Mus musculus: one gene and its partner. The protein of the gene in region 1 purifies or fractionates together with the protein of each later gene. This does not show direct contact. Links are inferred from orthologs where the notes say so. Each region holds a gene or a part of one and is shown in the gene's direction. Other genes may lie near its edges.

The links.
Region 2: the proteins of En1 (region 1) and Tle1 purify together in Homo sapiens (affinity purification with western blotting; 4 studies listed by BioGRID and IntAct, with this or other methods). This does not show direct contact. The link is inferred for Mus musculus from reciprocal best matches to the Homo sapiens genes EN1 and TLE1.

What each region holds. Positions count from the first base shown.
Region 1 is NC_000067.6:120,602,745-120,610,435, forward strand, and holds the end of En1 (homeobox protein engrailed-1), read left to right. Parts: 5' UTR 1-288; coding exon 289-1,177; intron 1,178-4,128; coding exon 4,129-4,445; 3' UTR 4,446-5,247; downstream 5,248-7,691. UniProt on the Homo sapiens protein: Required for proper formation of the apical ectodermal ridge and correct dorsal-ventral patterning in the limb.
Region 2 is NC_000070.6:72,198,094-72,202,062, reverse strand, and holds the start of Tle1 (transducin-like enhancer protein 1), read left to right. Parts: upstream 1-1,169; 5' UTR 1,170-2,057; coding exon 2,058-2,081; intron 2,082-2,641; coding exon of another isoform or gene 2,642-2,665; coding exon 2,666-2,766; intron 2,767-2,796; exon of another isoform or gene 2,797-3,823; intron 3,824-3,969. UniProt on the Homo sapiens protein: Transcriptional corepressor that binds to a number of transcription factors. Inhibits NF-kappa-B-regulated gene expression. Inhibits the transcriptional activation mediated by FOXA2, and by CTNNB1 and TCF family members in Wnt signaling.

The sequences.
Region 1 (7,691 bases):
AGAAAGAAAAAGAAAAGAAAATAATAGCCAAGTGTCTTCACTGTATCTGGATGTCTACAAATTAGAGAGAGGGAGAGAGCGAGATTTGCTCCACCAGAGCGGGCGAGAGCCAGGCCAGACGCTCGCCTTTCTTTTTTCCGCCTGCATCCGCCCTGTGCCTTCGCTGAGGCTTCGCTTTGCCTTCTTCCTCTCCGCGCACCCCCACGGGCCCGCTGGCAAAGTGGGGTGGGGAGCGAGGCGCGGGGGGCGGGGGCCGGCGCCGCGGCCAGGGCTGCCGGGCGGCCGAGCATGGAAGAACAGCAGCCGGAGCCTAAAAGTCAGCGCGACTCGGGCCTCGGCGCGGTGGCAGCGGCGGCCCCGAGCGGCCTCAGTCTGAGTCTGAGCCCAGGAGCCAGCGGCAGCAGCGGCAGCGATGGAGACAGCGTGCCGGTGTCCCCGCAGCCAGCGCCCCCGTCGCCTCCTGCGGCACCCTGTCTGCCGCCCCTGGCCCATCACCCGCACCTCCCCCCGCATCCCCCGCCCCCGCCGCCGCCGCCGCCGCCGCCACCGCAGCATCTCGCGGCGCCTGCTCACCAGCCGCAGCCCGCGGCCCAGCTGCACCGCACCACCAACTTTTTCATCGATAACATCCTAAGGCCCGATTTCGGTTGCAAAAAGGAACAGCCCCTGCCTCAGCTCCTGGTGGCTTCGGCTGCAGCCGGAGGAGGCGCAGCAGCAGGAGGAGGAAGCCGCGTGGAGCGTGACCGAGGCCAGACTGGTGCAGGTAGAGACCCCGTTCACTCTCTGGGCACACGAGCTTCGGGGGCTGCCTCGCTCTTGTGTGCTCCAGATGCGAACTGTGGCCCACCCGACGGCTCCCAGCCCGCCACCGCTGTCAGCGCCGGCGCATCCAAAGCCGGGAACCCGGCTGCTGCGGCGGCCGCGGCCGCAGCAGCGGCTGCAGCGGCAGTGGCGGCAGCGGCGGCAGCAGCCTCGAAGCCCTCGGACAGTGGCGGTGGTAGTGGAGGCAACGCGGGGAGTCCCGGGGCGCAGGGCGCCAAGTTCCCGGAACACAACCCTGCGATCCTACTCATGGGTTCGGCTAACGGTGGGCCGGTGGTCAAGACTGACTCACAGCAACCCCTAGTGTGGCCCGCCTGGGTCTACTGCACACGCTATTCGGACCGTCCGTCCTCTGGTGAGTACCCGAGCCGGGATGTGCATATGTGTCCAGGCCATGCTCTAGAATTTCAAGCCGTCACGCCCGGGAGAGTCCAGTTTGAAGCTCCATCAGCTTCACGTTTTATTTCTCTTGCCCCGGGTCCTAGTCACAACCGATCCTGTGCTCGATTCTGCCCTGCCATGTTGGCCTATTCGACCAAGGAAGTTACAGCTATTGGCACGCACAGGAGGCTCCAGTTTTTGTCCTTTGATTTTACGAACTCTGAGCCCTGAGGTCATTTTTGTATTTTATTTTATTATCTCGAAGAAAGATATCTAATTACTCATTGATCTATTTAGTAGGGAAAGGGCGCTTTGAGCTGGCGGGAAGATAGGCCTAGTTAGTGACTTGGTTCTGCGTCTACCACCGTAGTCCTGTCCAGAACTGTCTTTAGCCAGGGAGATGAACCGGAGAAATATTCTTTGCCGTGTGTTTTAAACAAACACTATGGATATTATACTGTGGAGAGTCCATTTGCATAAAAACAGATATGGGAGAGACAGAAAAGAGAAAACCTCCATCTCTTGCGCCCAGCCCGGGAATGGGGAGTCAACCCGCGTGGGTAGAATGTAGAGGAAGGCCCTAGCCAGAAAGGTGAGTAGCCTCTGCTCGCTGGTGCTGGCAGGCCGTGGGAGAGCAAAACAAGCAGGCTACTGGAAGATTTGAAATCTGGACCATGGGCAAGGGAATCAGCGTGTGCCTGGCAGGGCTCCCCTGTCCCTTCGGCCTGGGTTTCATTCTTTTACTCTCTCTCCTTCGCAAATATGCCCGTTAATGGCTATCTGCGTGACTTAGGACAATTCTCTGCTTTCTTTTCCTTTGCTGGAGCACCTACCTACCCAAGGTCAGCTGCTGGGCCCTAGAAGAGGGGACTCAGGCCTGCTTCTCCTTGCACAGAGCGGGCGTTTCTAGGAGGCCAGCGCCGGTCCCCCGAGGAGAACAGCAGGGGCTTGGGTCCAAGGTCAGCTTTGGGCCAGGCAGGGGGCCGGGCAAAAGGTAGCCACAGGCGCCCCACTGCTGGCTGGTGTCTTGCAGCCTTGCTGCTTCGGGCTGGGTGCGGATCGATGCGCGCTATCAGCCCCCGCCATCTCGAGCCCCGTTATTGACAAGTCGGGCTCCCTGAACCTCCGAAAAGCTGCTTTGATTGACTCGCCTGATGGATAGAGTGATTGAGCTGTCAGGCTGAGTGGGTCGGGCCGGCCAGGAGGCTACGATTTTATTACAAGTGTCCGTGCCTCTGCACACAACAACAACACTACAACATGCTCAGGACGCACCTCCCGCAGCGGAGTCTCTTGGAGGATGCGCACATGTCCTGGGCCATCTCTGCCTGCTTGCCTTATGACTCATCTAAACCCAAGTCTTGCTCAGGAGCAGGCCTTGTCTTTGTTCCTTGCTCCTTTTCTTTTTATAGACCAGAGAAGGCAGGGACCAGATACTTCTCCAAAGGCAGTTAATGTGGAGGAGTGACAACTTAGACGTGATTCCTACAGCCAGTAAGGCCTGGACTCCTCCTCCACACACAGCTACTGACCCTAGGTGCTGGTCGGCTGCTCCATCCAGTTACTCAATTTTTCCAGTAACTAGGTTTGCACATGCCAGCAAAGACCCCTCTCTCAGATAGTTTTAGGTAATAACAGACAGGTCAGGAACGGCCTCCATAGCTATCACTGAGGCCAGCAGTGCCCACATCCCAGCAAGAGTGCCACGAAGCAGGTTTCAACCCTCCAGCCAAGGTCCAGCCTAGTTCTCTCTCCTTGGCTGGACCCCCATACCCACCTTCCACATTAGCATTTGAGAGAGGCCTCATTCTCTTGGAGAATGGCCTTCCTACACCCCATCTTGGGGTAATAGCACAGGTCCCCCCCGCTGTGATTGTTTCTTTCACCAGCATCTCTTGGTCCTTGTTTTGCTTCTGGGTGGGGACAGCAAGGGAAGGGTTATCACCAGCCATGGGCTTCCCAATTTGTTTGTGTTACTTCAAGACTTTTGCACCCTGAAATTATGCAGGCAGGTTTAGAAAAGAGATAAGAGAACCTCCTCCCCCGCCCCACACCATGGAGAGGAGTCCTAAGGGTCCTTCTTTTTTTTCTTTCTGACATCAACCAAGAAGCTAAATAGAATGTCCCAGGCTTAAACTCATAGACCAGGGGCAGCAGTCCTAATAGGAATGGGCAGGCAGTGTCCTGCTTCGCTACTGAAAGAGCTTCCCTCAGGTCGAACAGAAAGAAAAGAAGGCAGAAAGGGATTCCTGATTCTCTGGAGTTGGGTGATTTCAGCTTCCCTGTTCTCTCTGAGGTCAATGTTGAAAATCAGGTAGGCTTCTCTCTCTCTCTCTCTCTCTCTCTCTCTCTCTCTCTCTCTCTCTCTCTCTGTGTGTGTGTGTGTGTGTGTGTGTGTAGCTTCCCAAGAATAAAGTGAGAACCAAAGTAGATCAGAGATCAGCCATTCTTCCCAGGGCCTGACCTTACTGATGTATTTATTCCAGGGCTAAGAAGACATTCTGGTTCAGTGATACCCTAAGTCTAGGTTATACCTTGGGACTCCAAGAACTCACTGTATCTTTAATTGCTCCCCCAGCCCTATTTTGTTGTTGTTGTTGGCCTTCTGGGCTGGACAGTACTGGGAGCTAGGTCTGTTCTCCATCTTTCTTGAATCGGGTGGCCCCTGCAGTCCCTGCCAGTGTGCTTGTTTGGTTTCCGAGTCCCTCCTGCAGAGGGGGGCCTAGAGATCTCAATGGTGTAGAGAGGGGCTCTTTGATGGAGATAGCGGACCCAGCAGCTGGCCTCTACAATCGCCCCGGAAACTCGGGATCCCCGCCCGCGGTGTACTCCACACAATTTTCTCAAGGCTTACTCTGCCCTCTCCCCCTCCCTCTGTTCCTGACCCCCTTCCTCCCCTCCCTGGCCCTGTCCTCCCCGCTGCAGGTCCACGCACCAGGAAGCTAAAGAAGAAAAAGAACGAGAAGGAAGACAAGCGGCCGCGGACGGCGTTCACGGCCGAGCAGCTGCAGAGACTCAAGGCGGAGTTCCAGGCAAACCGCTATATCACGGAGCAGCGGCGACAGACCCTCGCCCAGGAGCTCAGCCTGAATGAGTCCCAGATCAAGATCTGGTTCCAAAACAAGCGTGCCAAGATCAAGAAAGCCACCGGCATCAAGAACGGCCTGGCGCTGCACCTCATGGCCCAGGGACTGTACAACCACTCTACCACCACGGTTCAGGACAAAGACGAGAGCGAGTAGCTGTGGCCAGCTCCGGGGCCCGCGGTCCAACGGCGCCCGTGCCACCTCCAGGCTCCTCGGGGCTGCCGCTTCACCAGCCCCACGCAGAGACGATCGCTATGGAGGGAGGCATCAATCAGGGCGACAGAGAAAGCGAGCAAGAGAAAGCAATCCTCCGAGTGGACATTCACATAGGAACAAAACGGTTTTTGAAACGGGAGTAAGACTCGGACAGGTGCTATGGGGGAAAAATAAACATCTATTCTCTAACTCACTGTATAAGATGAAACTGCGAATTCCTTAAAGCTCTATCTAGCCAAACTGCTTTCGACCGTGTATATATTTAATTTCAGGTAAGGAAAACAAATATGTGTAGCGATCTCTATTTGCTGGACATTTTTATTAATCTCATTTATTATTGTTATAATTATTATAATTATTATAATTATTTTTCCCCTCCTCCCTACCTTGCTGCACCCCCCCCCCCCAGCCCAGTTTCGTTTTCGTTGCTCTTTTCCTTTGAATGTTTTTGCTTCTCTGGGTACCTCCTGCACCCCCAACGCTGGCCCTGGTTTCTCTGGGACTTTTCTTTGTGTGAGTGTGAGTGTGTTTCCTTGTGTGTCTGCCCCTCGCCTCTTCTCTACCCACCCAGGATTCTTCTATTGGTCTTGTCTATCCCTCCCGTAAATCCCCTTCCTTTTCTGGAGACTCCTTGAGAAATACAACCCCACAGACTGCGAGACTGAACCGCCGCTACAAGCCAAAGATTTTATTATGTTCAGAAACCTGTAGTCTGAAATAAAATGTTCACTGTGTTCATGAGTTGCTGACTGCCCTCTTCTTTGTGGGATGAGAAAGAGCCCATCCAGGTACTGTGTGGCGACCACCCTGGCTGTACAGGGTGGGAGCAAAACCCTGGGAAGCTCAGCTATGACTGTAATCATCACTGCTCAACAAATGTTAGTGTGAAAGGGAGTGTATGGCACAGGCTGTCCAGGTTTGCTTTGGTCTGGAGGATATGCCGAGTCCCTGAATGTATTCTAGGCGACCCCAATGTCAGAAAGTCCAGTCCTTCACTGCCCTTCCCCCAAAGGCTCCAGCTGGCTGCTTAAGCTTGTTCAGGCTCAGCCAACTGAGTCCTCTTGTTCAACCTGCTTCCATGAACAAAACTATACCTCTAGGTCTTTTTTTTTTTTTTTTTTTTTTTTTTTTTTTTTTTTTTTTGTGAAAGTCTAAGACTAGAGGCCTTACCAGGGCCTGCAATGGTGGCAGACTGTTTGCAAAGCTGCCCAGCTTTGGCCCAGAGTCTCTTCACCTCTTCCTTTGGGCATGGGATTCCCCTCCGCAGGTAGCTAGTCTGATTTGATGCTCGCAGGGCTTCACTGTGTAATAGTCTCCTCATACTACAAAGAGGAGGCCCGTCTGTGTGAAAAGCTGTATCTAGTGATCCTGTTCAGGGGGTCTGGAAGCCCCCAAACAGCCAGAGGCCTACCTCTCCCTGACCTGAAGCTTCAGTATAGAGGTTCCTTTTCCAAATCCAGCAAAGCTTAGCCAAATTCCTCATTTCAAGGAGAGGAGATTGTACACAGAAGATCCTAGGACAGGCCAGACACTTGGCCAACCCAGAGAACCCTCTGGGGAGTTGTCAGTGAGTGGGACAGACTCTCCAGGACTGACACCCCCTGAAGCTTTCAGAGGCTAAGACTAAGAGCCTATTTAAAGGTTCCCATCTCTCTTTTGTTTAGAATTTTATACACTATAAATTCTACTCTCCTTTTTTTCCCTATATGCAAGATGCATGTAACATGTAAGCAACTATGTATAGGTATGTACGTAAATGTGCCAGATGGGTGTCCATACGTTTGTGTGCACATGTAATAGTGTGCACATCATGGTGAGCCTCGGTTCCCGGCCATTTTGTTTGTATTCTGCGTGTGTTTTTGTATTGTGCAGCTGAGTGGTTGTTACGCTGCAGGGTCTGACACATTATTGGACATTTGTGAGTTCGGGGGTGTCCGTATTTGCACTAGTGTGCATTTGCGCATCAGAACCCTTGTCTAGTGTGTTTGGGACTTGCATGAATATGGGGACCTTTCCTCTAGAGTTTATTTCCTGATGCCCCCTCCCCCAACAGGATTGATTTTTGGAAGAAATGAGAATGGTCCAGTTATCCCACTCTTTTCTTGAAAAAGTCCCCGAAATTTGGCTCAACATCCCGTTTCTCACCAGGGAACTAAAAGTGCTAGGCTCTGTACCCCAGGAAGAGTCCCACACTGTCTCTGTCTAAGGGCTTGGGAACTTGGGGTCCAGGGGCCTGGAGAGCAGTTGGAAGTCATTAAACATTCCTATGGGTCTCTTATGTCTTACTGTTGTTTTGGGGGTGGTGCCTGCACATAATTGGTGTTCAGAGGTGACTGGAAGCATCCGTCTTGACAGTGGTGCTTGGCTTCTTGAGGTTTTGCTGGTTGGCCTTCAGGTGAAGAAGTCCGAGGTCTGAAGTGCTGGCCAGCTCAGAATCTGGAGCCGTCCCCACCCCCAGCCCCCATCTCCCTCTCCCCAAAGGACAGAAAGCACATGGGGATGTGGGTTCATGGCTCTTCTACCTCCTCCTTTACCGGCCATGGCCCCTAACTTAACGGAAGCATCCACTGCCACCCATTTCAGGGGCTAGGACAGAGGCAGCTGCAGGAAGTGTCCCATTCCCGAAGCCCTCCTCCTACCACCCAGAACAAAAAGGCCAGAGACAAGAGATCTCCACCCCCTAACCCCAGGGACAGCAAAGGCCACTAGTCCAGCTCCTGGGTGTGTTGGCTAAGCCTCTGATGGGAGCGGTATTGTGATGTAATTTGATTTCTTACCCATTATCTCTCTTTATCTTCTAATCACGTGGGCAAATAGAGTTTTCTTCATTGTTCGGCAGCAGAAACCGGGGCTCTGAGAACTTGGAAGCTTTTTGTCCTCTGAGCCTTCGTCTTTTTGGAGCCCATACTTCAAAGATTTGGCCAAGGCCTTGTAGTCAAGGTCAGGACCGACCTTCCTCTTCTCTCTCCTTCCGATCTGCAATTTTCATTCTCTCTTATTGGGGCAGCGAAGAAGGGGAGGACGGATCCAGTCAGACCTTATTCAGGCACCCCTTCTTTTAAAAAGAGAGAAGGAGAGAGTAATAATGATCATAAATAGGCATTGATTTCTCGGATTTATGGGGCTGGCTTGGCGAGCTGCCTGTGTATTAAGTGGGGGGGGTTGTATAGCTACATCGAGATAAAT
Region 2 (3,969 bases), on another chromosome or scaffold:
GAAATTCCTCTTAAGTCAATCCTCATCAAACAAGATCCTCAAGCTGCTTCATTTACCAATTCTCAGTAGTTCCACGCTTCTGCCAGGAGGACAACCAAAGCAACTTGGGAGGGGGAGGGGGAGGTTTCAGGTCTCAACGTTGATTTATCCCATTGCCTTTCATTTCCAGACATTTGAAACTGACTAGTGCTTTCCAGGCAGTCTCCAAAAAACGCTTGGCCATTTCCCTCCTATCCAAATGTGAAAGCATTCCAAAACCGGAACTCATTATTTCTCACGGGGCGCATCTCCTCTGTGCCTGAAACACGTGTATCAAAGACTGCCGGCACCGGCACCTTAGGGATCTTTCATGCTAAAATGGAGACAGGTCGACCTTTCAAGAAGTGGCGCAAAATCCTACGAAGCCGGTGCAGCGGTTCCAGTCTTGCCACGATGTGTGTGCACGCCAGCTGCTGCGATACTCACGCACTTCCCATCAAAGGCACAGTTAACTTCTTTCTCGTGCGTCCGTGGAACGGCAGCTCGCGGAAAAATAAGCCTCCGATAAAGTTGTGAATGAAATCTCACCTTCAGAGTAGCACAAAGGGAACCAATACCGAAAAGCCGAGTTCTGTTCTTGTTACCAAGACGCATCCCTCCCCCAACAAGAAACCCCGTGGTTAGTCTCTGCTACTTTCACTGAGATTTCCTTCAAGGAAAAGCGGAGCGAGCCACAGGCTTCTGCAAACTTCAACCCCCTGCTTTTTACTTGCCTGCCGCGCGCAGGTCGCTCGGGCTCGCGCGCACTCGCGCGCTCCCTTACTCGCCCCACGTTACTTTGATTGACAGCTCGGCCCGCCGCTCTCCTTCCCACCGACCTTCCGAAGCCGCTTGCCAATCTCGGCGTCTAGCCGCTCCCCATTGGCTGGCGTGGGCGCCCCGCGGCTCCTCGGGCACCGCGGCACTCAGAGCGCACAGGACGCGCTGGCGGAGGAGGGGCCCAGGCGAGTGGGCGGGGAGACGCGGCACAGAGGCCGCGCGAGGTGGGCGGAGCGAAGGCCAACACAGGCTGCGGCCGGCCTGCGTCAGTGCCCCACGTTGGTGCGGCGCACGCGGTTGGCTGAGCGGCTGCGGCTCCGCCCACGTCCGTGGCCGCCTGGGTGCTTGCAGCCCCCGCCACACGGCTCGGGCGGGGTGCTGGTTTGCTAGCGAGTGTGAAACCGCGTGTTAATGTAAGCGGCGCAAGAGGCGCGGGCGGCGGCAGGAGCAGCGGCGGGGACCCCGCGTCCCGGGGCAGAAGCCGGGACTCGCCTTCGACGTGGCCCGCCGCGGAGGGAGACAGAGCGGCAGCGCGCTCTCAGTCGCGTGGACGTTTGCCTCCGGGTCGTGAGAACTTTGCGGTGGCAGGAGCTGGTCAGCCCTTTGCTAAGAGCCGAGGAGGGGAAGGCAGGCGCAGGGAGCGCCCGAGCCGCGGAGAGCGACCGGCGGCCTGATGCCCGGGGTAGAGGCGCGGCGGGCGGCCAAAGAGCTGCACCGGGATCACTAGCCATCGACTGGAGGGAGGACGCATACTGGCGTGACCCTGCCAGGACCCCGCTAGGCTTCGAAGCTCCACGCCCCGCCGGAGACTCGGCAACGCCGGTGGAGAGCCGCCGGTGACCCGGAGCTTACCGTCGTGGGAGCGGGTGACCTCCCGACCCGAGACGCGGCTCTCGCCGCTGGCTGTCTACGTGGGTTTTAGCCAAGGCGCCACCTGCACGACCGCCGACGCAGGGAGGAGACACACAGCCTTCCTGCATTTGTGAGCCGCAGAAGGGAGCGCGCCGGGGGCACCGGGTGGAGGGCCACCGGAGGTCCGGGCGCCCCCGCTGCGCAGACTCGCAAGCGCGGGGCCGGCCGAGCCGCCCGCAATGTGGCCCTGAGGGCGGGGGCCGCACCCGTCGCGCCCTGGCCTTGCATCCCGAGTGCCCCGTGCGCCGGCCTGCTGCGCTGCTTCACGTTCCTCGGCGGGATTCAAGTTGGAAGTGGCGCGGAGGATAGAGCTATCCCGGAACAGAGCCGCGGCTGCCGCCAGAGCGATGTTCCCGCAGAGCCGGCACCCAGTGAGTCGCCGGCGTGGGTGGGACCTTGCCCCGCGCGGGAGCCCACGAAGCCCCATTTCCCCTTGCCCGGCCCCCTCCCACTGGATGTCTAGACGGGCGGACGGGCGTCGCGCAGTCACGGCCCGCTTATCCCGAGGCCGAAGTGAGCCCTCTTCTCGCCTGTTTACGCGTAGTCAGTGCGGCCCGGACTGGGGGCCGAGAGGGAGTTGGCATTTCATCTCCAGGTCCCGGGTCATTCTCGAACCAGTTGGGGAGGGGCGGCCTGGACATCGAAACTCTGATTTGGGCCTTTTCAGCCTCCTCCGGGCCGGGTGACCCCAGAGCTCCGGGCACGCGCTGTCCACACTGGAGGCAGACTTATTCCTGAGCCTCCTGAGAAATTAGGGCCCCAGGAAGATCCGCTTTCTCCCTCTCTAAAGTGAACCGAGGGTTCTAGTTTGGGCCTCTGTTTTCCACCACTTCTAACTTTATGTATTTATTTATTTTTTTTGTTTATGTCCCATCCGCTTCTCCCTCTTACTTTTCTGCTTTATGCCCTCATCCTCATATCTCCTCCCTTGGTCCCTCATGCTGGTCACCTGCAGACGCCGCACCAAGCTGCAGGCCAGCCCTTTAAGTTCACTATCCCGGAGTCTCTGGACCGGATTAAAGAGGAATTCCAGTTCCTGCAGGCGCAGTATCACAGGTGCGTGTCGACCTACTCAGGGTGGTGGTCACCTGGGGCGGGGGGTGTCCCTTCTCACACACTGCCAGGCTGCTAGGGCTGCTGTACTTAGGGCTTGTGTCCAGGCGGTGGCGTGTGGAGTCACCGTTAAGCCCTGTCATTCACGTTACCCCCCTTTCGTCGCTCTTCCTGGGCCGTCCCTTCTGTTGTCTCCTCCTCCTCCCATTGTTTCCCCTTTGCGCATTTGTGGCTGTTCCAGGGAGTCCCTTTTCGTGTATTTTGGAGTTGCATGAGAACCGTCAATATTTGCGCTTCGTTTATTTATTTTGCAACAGGCTGAACTGAAACATGGGTTCAATCAATGGCTCGGTCCCGGAGTGTGTGTTCAGGAAAGCAAAGCCATGTTGCAATAGCTGTTTGCCATACAAGAAAATTGGGTTGTCTGAGACAAAGTCCATTAGGGGATGCTAGATGCCGTTAGCTGGGGCCATCAAGGGTTATTTAGGTGGTAAGGTGTAGATAATGTGCGTGTTTGAGTAGACCAGGAGACTAGAGTCACGTTCACCTCTGTTCTGGGTTCTTATGTAAGGATACCTTCTATGGATCGTTTAGTGGAAATTCTAGCTAAAGCCCCCATCTATAGATAATAGAAAAGCTAACTATTTTCCTACGATGAGGTTTTGACTCATTGTTGCTAAGCAATAACTTCGAAGGCGATTTTTACTTTTGTCAAGCCTGAGGAAAAAGACCAAAGAAAAGCTTGGTGGCTTGGGTCTGAGTTTTCTTAAGTTAGTCAGAGGCTTTCTGATTTTTGACCTTTTATCTACTTTTATATCATATCTCGAGAACTTGGGGCATACTTGGACACACTGTTTACTGAACAGGGACAGGAGAACTTCAACCCACTTCATTGCTGTAGCTGCTTGTCATAGCTTGGCAGCGATTCAAACGGTTTTGAAAGGCACTAGTCACTGTACGGAGTGACTTTACCAGGAAAGTTTTCAAACCTGAAGACTGCCTGTGCTGGAGAGTGGGGCTTGTGGGAAGGATGGATTTTGGTGCAGGCAAGAGAAGATTGGTGAGGATAGCTGAGGAATCTGTTTTGATAGGTTTTTCCTCTCACAGGTGTGCCCCAAGGAACAAAAAGAACAGTAGTTGCTGGATAGTCCCCATTGTTCACCACCTTTGCCAGCATTGAATACAAAGACAGCTTTTAGGATGTTT